Drosophila melanogaster: one gene and its partners. The protein of the gene in region 2 interacts with the protein of the main gene of each other region in a pairwise test. Each region holds a gene or a part of one and is shown on either strand. Other genes may lie near its edges.

Region 1 (3,759 bases), on a different chromosome or scaffold from region 2:
GCAAAAGCTGTCAGCACTGCCACACATGCCCCCATGTCATGCAGCCTCGGCAATGAATTTGCGTTTCCGCCTCGCCGCTTTCGCCATCATGGTTAACCGCGTCGTTGATTTAAGGGCGTTCTCCGTTCCTTGCGAGTAGCTGGCGTACTCCGCATCCTTTGTCCTTACTGCTCGAGCGACACAATTAAAAATGTGCGGCCCAATTCATTTGATTGGCACGAAGGAAGCGACGAGATAAGCAACTTCCGTTGGCTGAAATTTTGGCATCTTCATCAATCAAGAATGTGCTCGTTCTCGTGGGCTGGCTGTTGGGGAAAATGTCATATAGGTTGATAGAAAAAACAGCAATATAAATATTTCAAATTAATAATTGATGTCTACCAAAAGCAGTTAAATTTTTTAATATCTTCACAATTATTGCCGATTTCCAATAAAAATATAACAAATTAATAAAGTATAAATTTAAATCAACTTAATTCCCAATAAAAAGTATTTCATAATAAATAAAACAAGGATAACGCTAGGAACAGTAAGTAATAAACTAGTATTCCCTTATGAAAACCCATGAATTTAATGTCCGATTAAAATTGTAATATTTAGCGCCTAATCGATAACAAGTATGTATACAGCTGTTTTAAACTGTCTGGTAGCACTGATCTTATCGAATATGTACAATTCCATCCCTAGAAAAACTTGCATAAAAAATAAAGAACAATTGAACAATTGCATTTAGAATGGAGTATGTGCACTCTGTTTGGAGCTACCTAGCCTCGATCTGCAACTGCTGGCAATGCACCGAAGATCCAGGTGCGCAGGTAATCCGCACATTCCCCTTTCCCCGTCAACAGACCGAATACACAATGCGTTCCATCTGCAGCCCAACGAGCCGAACGAGCGGACACACCTTCTCGTGGACCCGGTGAACCATAGTCCTGCCCTTCGACGGAGCAACTCCGATGGCCTCAGCACCGACTACGCCCACTCCCTTCCCAAGAAGGACGATCAGAACGCCCTCTCCAGACTGGTGCAGAATACTGCGATGTACGTAGTTGATAGTGTATAGGGTCCACATTTGGCACTATCATATACAATTCCATTGATTGGAATGCTAGCATTTTACAGCGATTGCTATACTATACTATACTATAGTAGTATACCTACGTAGTTATAGCGATGGCAGGATCTAGTATGTAGTATGGTTATACCCAAGCATTTATCGGGATGTTCAATGCAACAAAGCAACACAGCCCTAATTATCGCTTATCTATATTATATTTGTATTCGCTTATACGCTACTTTGCTCTCCAGAAACATGATAAACGTTGGAGCCATGGACTGTCACAGCCTGGAGCACCAGGAGTACGCCGATAGAATAAGATTGTACTCGCAGCGGTTGCATCAACAGTGGAACAACGGCCAGCACGCCAGTATCGCACCAAAAGGTTTGCAATATAGCTAGATTGAAAGGGTGAATGATGACTAACAATTAAATGAACAACAGGTCTCCTTAAAGATGTACCAAGCCATCAGTTCTATCTGTCTAAGCCAACCTATCCAGATGACACTGCTCAAGTGAGTTTTACTTTTCGCAAATTGCTTGTTGCTTACCAATTTCGTATGTTTTTAGATGAAGCTCTTCACCGAGAAGGCACACATCAGTGTCTCGCACATACAGATCGACCACAAAGAGGCCGTGGTTGTTCCCTTCCGGATTCCCTGATTATCGTATCTTAAGTGAAATAAAGTGATAAATTTATATAAAATCAAAATCTATATTGGTACTAAGTAGCCCTTGAATAACCAGGTAATCGACTTATTTTCATTAAGTGTACAGAAGCAAATAAATACATACTATATTCTTAACACGGCAAGACATTTTTTTTATTTAGGAAGGCACACACACACACATATAGCTAAAATCCAAAATGTCGTTCGATCTTAACCATAAATTTTGGGTCTACACGCGCAAGGAAATTGGTAAATTAATCAAGAAGCAGAACCGCCTGAAGAAGATTGAGCCGCCAGAGGAAAAGGCAGTATCGTATAAAATTTACGCAGAGCTCTATGTTTTGTATGTGGAGCTGGTCAATAAGTTAAGTTTCATATACCACAATACTTTCCAAGTGCAAAAGCGGGCATTGGTACGTGTTTTGGTGGAGAATGCCACTCAGCAGCTAATGCAACTCAAGGAGGAGTTAAAAGACTTGGAAATGAGCGAATACATTTACATAGATAAGGCGCTGATCGCTAGGAAGCTAACACCACGGGACCTGGTCGTATGGAGGTCACCACAATTCCTTTACCGTCGCCCGTTGGACATTCAAAATATCATTGCCGACAACCGATTGTACATGAACGATGAGGAAAAGGAAGAAAAGGCAGCCCAGGATTGGGTTCCGATCAGTGAGGCGGTCAAGCTTATCCAAGCTCACGAGAGGGCGCGCCGAGCTCGGGTTTACAAGTCCAACATAAAGTACGACAAGAAAAAGTTCCTCAAGGTCCATCAAAGAAAGAAAATAAATTACAAATTCACCTTTAAGCCTGATCAGGCAATGAGTATTCCCGTGAAGAGAACCATTTTTTCAGCTGACTTCTTGAAGGCGGACGAGTCCTGCGAAAATCTTATCAAAAAGGATGATGTAGCGGATACCGCAATAGATGGCAAGTAGCTAGATCGTTTCAAAACAATTAATTTGGTTTTTAATTATTTTCTAGATGAGGAAGCCTTAAGTGCAATACAGAACAATGCTGCTTGTAAAATCCAAAGTTGTTGGCGTGGTTACAAGACGCGGAAAATAGTTAAGATTAGGAAGCGGTTCAAGGAGGAATTGTATGGTATGAAGAAAATTAGGAAACTGAAGCGACCCAATCAGACGGCAAATTCTATTATGGAAATGTACAAGAACGAGATGCTCAAGAAGAAGCTGGATGAGGACTTCATCAACTTGATCAACGATGAGCGCACCCGATTGCTGCAATTCCGAAGTCCATGGATGATGGAAGATATATCCGATCATATCCGGGCATGGTTCAAGGAATTGTGAGTTGTTTTTCATTGAGGCAAAAAAGGCAAAAACGTATAACTCGTACTTAACAGCTACGACGCGACTGGGAATTTTCATCCTTATCCCGATCCTGTAAAACAAGGAACGGTACTGGTTGTCATTGATGAAACAATGACGCCAATGGAATTTCAGGAAAGCCTTGGTAAAAAGCCGCTGTCAAAAGCCGAGTTGAAGAAACTTCGCGATAAGGAGAAGAAAGAGAAAAGGAAAAAGAAGGAAAAGCTAAAACAACTGAAAATGAAGGAAGCTAAACGTCGGAAGAAATTGAGAGACGCTGGAGTCATCGATATTGGCTACGAGCTAACTGCAAGCAAGGCAATTGGTAGATAGTTTGACTTAATGGAGAATGTTTCCATTGTCTCCAAATACTCTCTTCAATTTTAGAAAACATTGAAGAAACAATGAAGAAGTACTCCAAGGACTGGAGAAATGTCGATGAATATCTAAACAAGAATCATGATCCCATCAAGGAATGGGTTACTGAGGAGCAACTGGCAAAGATTCATCAGGAAGTGAGGGGCTTGGTCGACGAATACATGAGGTAAATTTATTTATATTTACAATGAAAATATAACTTTTCAACTTCCAGGGTTGAGTATGAGTTGCTGCGGGAGGCCTTGGCGAAGGATAACGATGAGAAGTACAAGGCTCTCAAGGTGAAGTATCCTAAGAAGAAGAAGGAGAAGAGGAAGAA
Region 2 (2,769 bases):
CTTGATGGCTTAGAAACCGACCATCAGGCAGAGCCAAGATCTATAAAAAAATTCCCAAGAAATACGTATAAGTATGTATGCATGAGCCAAACCCCTGCGGATTCCTTGGATCGCACTCTAATGATTTCCTGCTTAGGATACTGGGGCTCACCCATAAACCCAAATATGCTGCCGCTTCCCAAGAGCTGTCCCCCTGCCGTCCAATGATTAATGCGCCGATCCTTGTCCGATGCCGATGAGGCGAGAATGGGAATTATGTATTTGGGTTAATGTTACACCGCAGAGCAGCACGGCTGGCATTGCTTTAATTTTGTTTTAACACAAAAATTGCCAAGTACCAGTATTTATTTGATGTGCGCAATGCTGCGATCGGAGCTGTGACTTCGCCTTGGACGGCAATTTCCTTCCGTCGTGGTGGAGCCGCGCATCTTGATCGCCGGGTTCTCAGGCTGTGGCCAGAAAACTGGAATCCCAGAGAACCGATACCATTGCCGACGACGATGCCAGTGCTGCTGGCCATTTCAAAATCTAACTGTTAACTGCAAAAGTTGAACGTACTAGCAGCATGCAACATTCAACGGCTGCACCCACGGCATCAGCAGCATTAACGGCAGTACACTTGAAAAAATATGTTTTGAGAAGGAAAATTATTTCCTATGAAAAACTAATAATATATATGTTCTTAAATATAAAAGCTTTTGGAAAATGTAGAAAAAGTTTATGTTGTTTCTAAATACTTTTGGAATTAATTATTTTTCTGGAATACATACACACCGAGCCAAATATTCTTACACAAAAATCGATTAAATTGAAGAACTCATACATCACTTTCCTCAGTGTATGCAACTGCATCTGAGCGGGCAGCGAAACGAGTTGAAAGCCGTTTTCCCTGTTTGCCAGCCAGCTCTTGAAAGTGGTTTGTTGTCTAACTGCGTTAGTTGCTGCTTTAAATTGTGCGCCCAAGCAGCTCCAGCGGCGTTTAATGGCTCCAACTGGCGACCGGAGACCTCGGCTTTAACTGGCCACCCCGCCACCGACTTCTGTTTCTGTTTCTGATTCCGAATCGGATTCTTTTTGTTGCTGCAGCGGGTTCTCAGGCGGCGTTGGCTAAATGTCATAGCGGCGGATGCACCGAGCAGATTAATCATTAATCACATGCCCATCTGAGAGTACGAGACTTCCAATATGCGGAAATTACTGGCAGCTAGCTGTAGTATCCATATGCCCCATTCCCACCATCCCCATCACCTGGTGGCCGATCATTTCCGCCGACGAGTTGGGTTCCTTTATTTTGCCTTTATTTTGACACTGGGCCAGCAACGGCAATTACTGGCGGCGGTGCCACCGAAAACCCTCCTCCCTTCCGCCCTGATTTATGAGTTTTTAATGAGCGGCCACTTTACACGAATTCAAGTTAACAAGTGGAGCCGCGTAAGAGGCCAATATCGCAAGTAGTATCGCCGGCAATCGCGCCTTGACATTCGAGTCGTGCGAAATGTCAGATGAAGATGCACCAATGATACGCTCAATGGGCGTTGGAATGCACAATACCCTAACTAAATCTGAAAGAATATGTCCAGTCAAGGGGAGTGTACAATTTTATTTCCATTTTCTCTAACGCTTTTCAAATTAATCATTTAGGGCTGCCACATCGAAAGGGTTGCCAAAGCATGTCGATACCTACAGTTATCGAAACTGAAAAATAATATCTCGGTGTGTAAACACTTGACAAAACGTGACAATTGGCTACGCGCGTCGAAAAAAGAAAAATAGATTACATTGAAATAAATCCCACGATATCTAAAACCAAACGGAAGATGCCCAGCTCCACTTTGACGTCCTCTACTGCTCTTCCGGTGAAGCAACGAAATGGATTTGATCTTGGACTCGAACCGTTGCGGATCTTAGGAGCCTGCAACTGGTCCGGTAAGCTGACCTTTTTGATGCAGTGGAAGGGTTGCGACGAAGCCGGCCTGGTGCCCGCCGAAGTGCTCAACGTTCGGTGCCCCCAAATGGTCATCTCGTTCTACGAGGAGCGTATTGTGTTCACGGATGAGGGCGATGAAGAAGACTTGGAGTCGGACAATGGGTATGAGACCACTCCGAGTCCCAGGAAGAAACGATCACGAAATGCCTAGTCCATAAAACTATTGTGCACCGAAGACATTGCGGTGCAATGTCAATAAAGAGTATTGACTCTTCTGCCACGAGTTTTTCTTCATTTTCTGGTCGCCGTTGTCGCTGGTGATTGATTATGCATTTTCATGCGAACTGGTTGCTGATGCTGCACTTTGTTGGCATGCGGGCAGGTGAATAAGTGAGTTTAGCTCGGCCCAGCCACGCCCTCCGCCTCCTAGACGCAGCTTGATGTTGGAGACAGGCCGGCGGCATTATCTGCCGGGCGCGAAATTATACGTGTATGTATACACCGAGCGAAAAGTCTGTAGGGGTATTTGAAAGTTCATAAAAAAAACAGTTCATAAATGGTGCACTTGCCTCATTAAACTTTTTCCAGTGCACTTAATGCTGTCAGTGACCTTCACATCGGGGCGTTGGAAAACCTGCAATTAGAAAAGAAGGTTAAGCCGCAGGATCAGACTCAGCTCTCAGATTCCATGTTGCAGGCGCCTCAAGATTCACGCAGTCAACTAATACGTACATAAAAAAAAGGGTTAAATTGGTGGCGCACCTTTCTTGCAGCGACATTTTGACATTGAAAAAGTATAATTAATTGAGGGGCCCACCAGCAGGTGGGCGTGGCCAGGGGCA
Region 3 (3,759 bases), on a different chromosome or scaffold from region 2:
TACGGCTACTTCGACGGCAGCCGCCTCCTCCGCAACGGTGCAGCTCTCCTGGGCTGGACTCAGACTGCAAGAATTAGCAAGTATTAATTAGCAGAAGATTAGGTATAGATCGTCAGAGTTGTCATACCGGAAGATGTCCTCGTTGAGCAGCGGCTTGGACGCCTGGCACATGGTGCATTTCAGCGAGGATGGGTAGTTCTCGTAGGTGCAAGTTTCACATTTCCATTTCTGCGCATCGTCTTTGGTATCGCACATTGTTTATGCGCGGAGCCGGCCAATGCAGTTGATCTGCCAAGGAGAAAGGGATCATACGTTGAATATTTGATATGGGATACACGAGTGTCACCAAGTAAGGGGATCCCATAAAATATGCTTTTACTAGTCAAATCCACCTGGCTGCCTTTTTTACTTCAAAATAGTTTAATTTCTGAACAATTGTAAGCTTAGACAATCATTTTAGTCGAAGTTGGTTGAAGATACGAAGAGTTTGATCAATAATGTATAGCTATGTTGACTTTTGTCGGAAGTTAATGAGATGTTGCATTCAAAAGAAAAAGATTATCTAAAAACTAATATTGGATTTATAAGTACGCAGGGAAATCTACAATTTGGAGGACATTTCAATTTACCTTGACTTATTTTGCAAAGTATAAAGACTATATGCATGACTCGTTTTGGGGGACAACTATCTACCAATGAATGTATCTACTAAGCTACTATTCTTTGGATAAGCGAACCGAAAGGGTATCCCTAAAGTCGGTGAGCGGCGAATCCACCACTTCCGACTCGTTAATAAGGTCAAACAACGGTTAGCGAGGCAGAAGCAGTGTCCTTGACCCTGAGACATAATTCGCAGATACATCCACAGATATGTACATCTGCCTTGGCTCCATTTCCATTTCCCCCACTGGCGTCACAGTCAGCCTTCGGGTTCTCGTTGCCTGGGATTGGATTGGAATGAATTGGATAGGGTCTGGTTTTGGTAGTAGTGGTGGTATAGGTGGTAGTGGTTCAACTGCTGGGTCGGTTGCATTTATTTGTTGCCATTATAATTCGCCTATGTATGTATGGCATGTGTCGCGTGCGATGTACGTACGTATGTATGTACGCTGGTATGCCAGTTTTCGCGCTAGTTTCTTATTGGGATTCGCCCCGTGCCATCCCAACCATCCCACAACCGCCTCCACCCCCCTTCCCACATCGACGTCTTTACACAGTACCTGGCGCAGAAAATCGCAAGGCCTTTTGCAGCAGTCCCAGAAAACGCGAATGCGACTGCGACCACGACAGCGATTGGATTCGATTCGAATCGAGTCGATTTAAATATATAACACAATCACAATAGGGACCGCGAGTATAGCATTAGTATTATAGTAGCTATAAGGTGTAGTTGCTATAGTCGCCGTCGGCCACCCGCGCCCGCAGCAGCGACACTATGTCGACGTCGATCCAATATTGCCAGTAATGAGCGCTGGCAGCAGGCAGGAAAATCACAATTACAAAACAAAGACGATGAGAAAACTTTCACTCGATTTTCAGTTTGGGGGGTTTTCTTTCTTGCTTTCCTTCTCAATTTTCAGCTGTACTTGCTTGGGGCGCGTGAAACGAAACTGCCCGCACACATTCACGGCGACGAACACACGCACGGTGGATCGTAGTGCAAGGAATTTGGAATTTGGATTATTTGGAAACAGCTAATTATTTATTTTTTACATTATTGCGAGGCCAATCATCTGGTTCTCTGTCCGCCTATCGACAACTATCGGTGCTCCGTCCCTGGCGCTCAGTGTTGAAAAGTGTCTCGGTTAGCTGGTTAGTCAAGCTTCACACCTACTGGTGTTCAGTGGTTTTCATGGCAAGTCTTAGAGATCGGGGGATGGTCATACTAGTAAATAAAATGGCGGGAGCTGTACATGAATTTCATTTGGTAAACAAATTATATTCTTAAAATGGTAAGAACACGGCCGGTGCCGTGTGTTCCGTCGCCAGATGTGAACACCGCAACGAGACGCAATCCCGGGCGTCCCAAGAAACAGTCCATCGGAGCTGACTTAAGCACAACGATAAGCAAACCCGGGCGTCCCAAGAAGCTGTCCATCGGAGCTGATTTGACCACAATACGTAAACCCGGGCGTCCCAAGAAACTCGGAGCTGATTTGACCACGATAATACGAAAACCCGGGCGTCCCACGAAACTATCAAACAAACAATCTTTGACAGCCCTAAACGAGCCAGAGTGTCGCATAAGAAAATGCGTGGTAAAAATAAGGCGCATTAAGGTAAAAAACGGTGTCGTATCCGAAATTTCTCGAAATGATGCGCCTGATGTGGATGCCAGCACTTTTGAGCCGGCTCGCAACTCGACGATGTACATTCCTTCGAAGGTACAGAAATCAACGCAACCCCAAAATATCAAGGAAAATGTGGCAGGTAAGAGGCTCTCACCAGGCGGATGATGGACTTTTCTTGATAAGCACAACTACTTGCAGGTCCCGAAACATCGCCATGTCAGCAACGCATAAGGAGTAAAAGCCCTAGTGGACCGGCAGCTGAGATTTCGCCCAAAAAACCACCTCGTTTCTTCCACAGAGATCAGCCTTTAACCAGGACACGATCATCGGTGACCCGCAACGTTTTCGATTTTCTGTCGCAGTCGCAGATCGAAGATGACAGTGACAGGGAGGATCCGGCGGCAGACATAATTCAGCGTTTGGTTAAGGATGGAAAGGCCTGCGTAATGGTGCGGTCAAGAAAAATCGGCAAACCGAGAGCCAAAAGAACAGCAAAGAAGGTCCGACCTGTGGGTAATCGAAGAAAGGTTTCGACAAAAGACAATGAGCCTGAGCCAGTCAAGGTCGTTCCCAAGTCCATAGAACCGCGCCTTCAAAAGCCATCACGCTCCTTATCGACCATTTTCGAGCCCGAGGAAGATTATAGCAACGATTCGGAGCACGGATACGTGCAGCCCATCGAAGTGCCCGTCCAGGTACATGTGGAGCCGAGCACTTCTAAGCAAGCGCACGAAGGAGCCTACAGTAATTTGGCCCGATCCGTAATGCTTAACCAGACCCAGGCGCAAAATCCACTGCCATCTACAGACAGACGTCGAGAACTTATCAACATGGCGCGACAATTGGTTAGCACGCCGCTGAATCGCAGAGCTCCTCCGGTGACAGATGTTAGTGCCACCACCACTGCATTGTCGCCTATTGCCCACCAGTCTCCAAATGCAGTTAGGACCGCGGGAGGCAAATCCCCCTGGCGCGTTTCCGACGATTCACCATTGCCCAATACTTTCATGTTTGGTTTCAACAACTCCCAGATGCCATCGTACTCCAGTGATCATGTGCAACGTCGGCATGTCTATGTGCCAGATTCGCCGGTAGAGCATGCTGAGAACATCCCTCACGAGGAATCCATTTGTCCGCCTTTGCACGAGCAAAATCATGACTCAAATGCGAACGACTCGAATGAGGAGAACCGTCCCCCTCCCACAATTAGCAAATCGATGTCGATCAATGACCAGGAAAGCGAAGAGAATGCGGAGAACTTTGTGCACCTGCCGAATCCTCGGAGAACGCTGCAGAAACGAACGCCCTTTAAGGATATTAACATACTAGAAGTAGTGACACTGCCGTCTTGGAAGAAGAACGTGACGGCCACTGTTTCAAAAGAAATCACTCCTACCAGAGTGGCACCTCGTCCAATGGCGACGTCATCCCCAGCGCAACGCAGTCAAACGCGGTCGAATCTTTTTGG

Evidence for each region.
Region 1: the proteins of HP6 (region 2) and CG14183 interact in a two-hybrid assay, tested with the Drosophila melanogaster proteins (one large-scale study listed by BioGRID).
Region 3: the proteins of HP6 (region 2) and dmt interact in a two-hybrid assay, tested with the Drosophila melanogaster proteins (one large-scale study listed by BioGRID).

What each region holds. Positions count from the first base shown.
Region 1 is NT_037436.4:20,025,928-20,029,686, reverse strand, and holds the start of CG14183 (uncharacterized protein), read left to right. Parts: upstream 1-1,851; 5' UTR 1,852-1,925; coding exon 1,926-2,661; intron 2,662-2,715; coding exon 2,716-3,040; intron 3,041-3,097; coding exon 3,098-3,387; intron 3,388-3,449; coding exon 3,450-3,606; intron 3,607-3,654; coding exon 3,655-3,759. Other genes in the region: Lamtor1 (late endosomal/lysosomal adaptor, MAPK and MTOR activator 1), read left to right, coding at 735-815, 878-1,041, 1,309-1,442, 1,502-1,572, 1,628-1,720.
Region 2 is NT_033779.5:4,577,152-4,579,920, reverse strand, and holds HP6 (heterochromatin protein 6), read left to right. Parts: upstream 1-1,702; 5' UTR 1,703-1,817; coding exon 1,818-2,138; 3' UTR 2,139-2,202; downstream 2,203-2,769.
Region 3 is NT_033777.3:9,709,261-9,713,019, forward strand, and holds the start of dmt (dalmatian), read left to right. Parts: upstream 1-1,881; 5' UTR 1,882-1,949; coding exon 1,950-2,430; intron 2,431-2,489; coding exon 2,490-3,759. Other genes in the region: trbd (trabid), read right to left, coding at 1-64, 128-255. UniProt on the Drosophila melanogaster protein: Regulator of sister chromatid cohesion in mitosis. Probably involved in development of the central nervous system.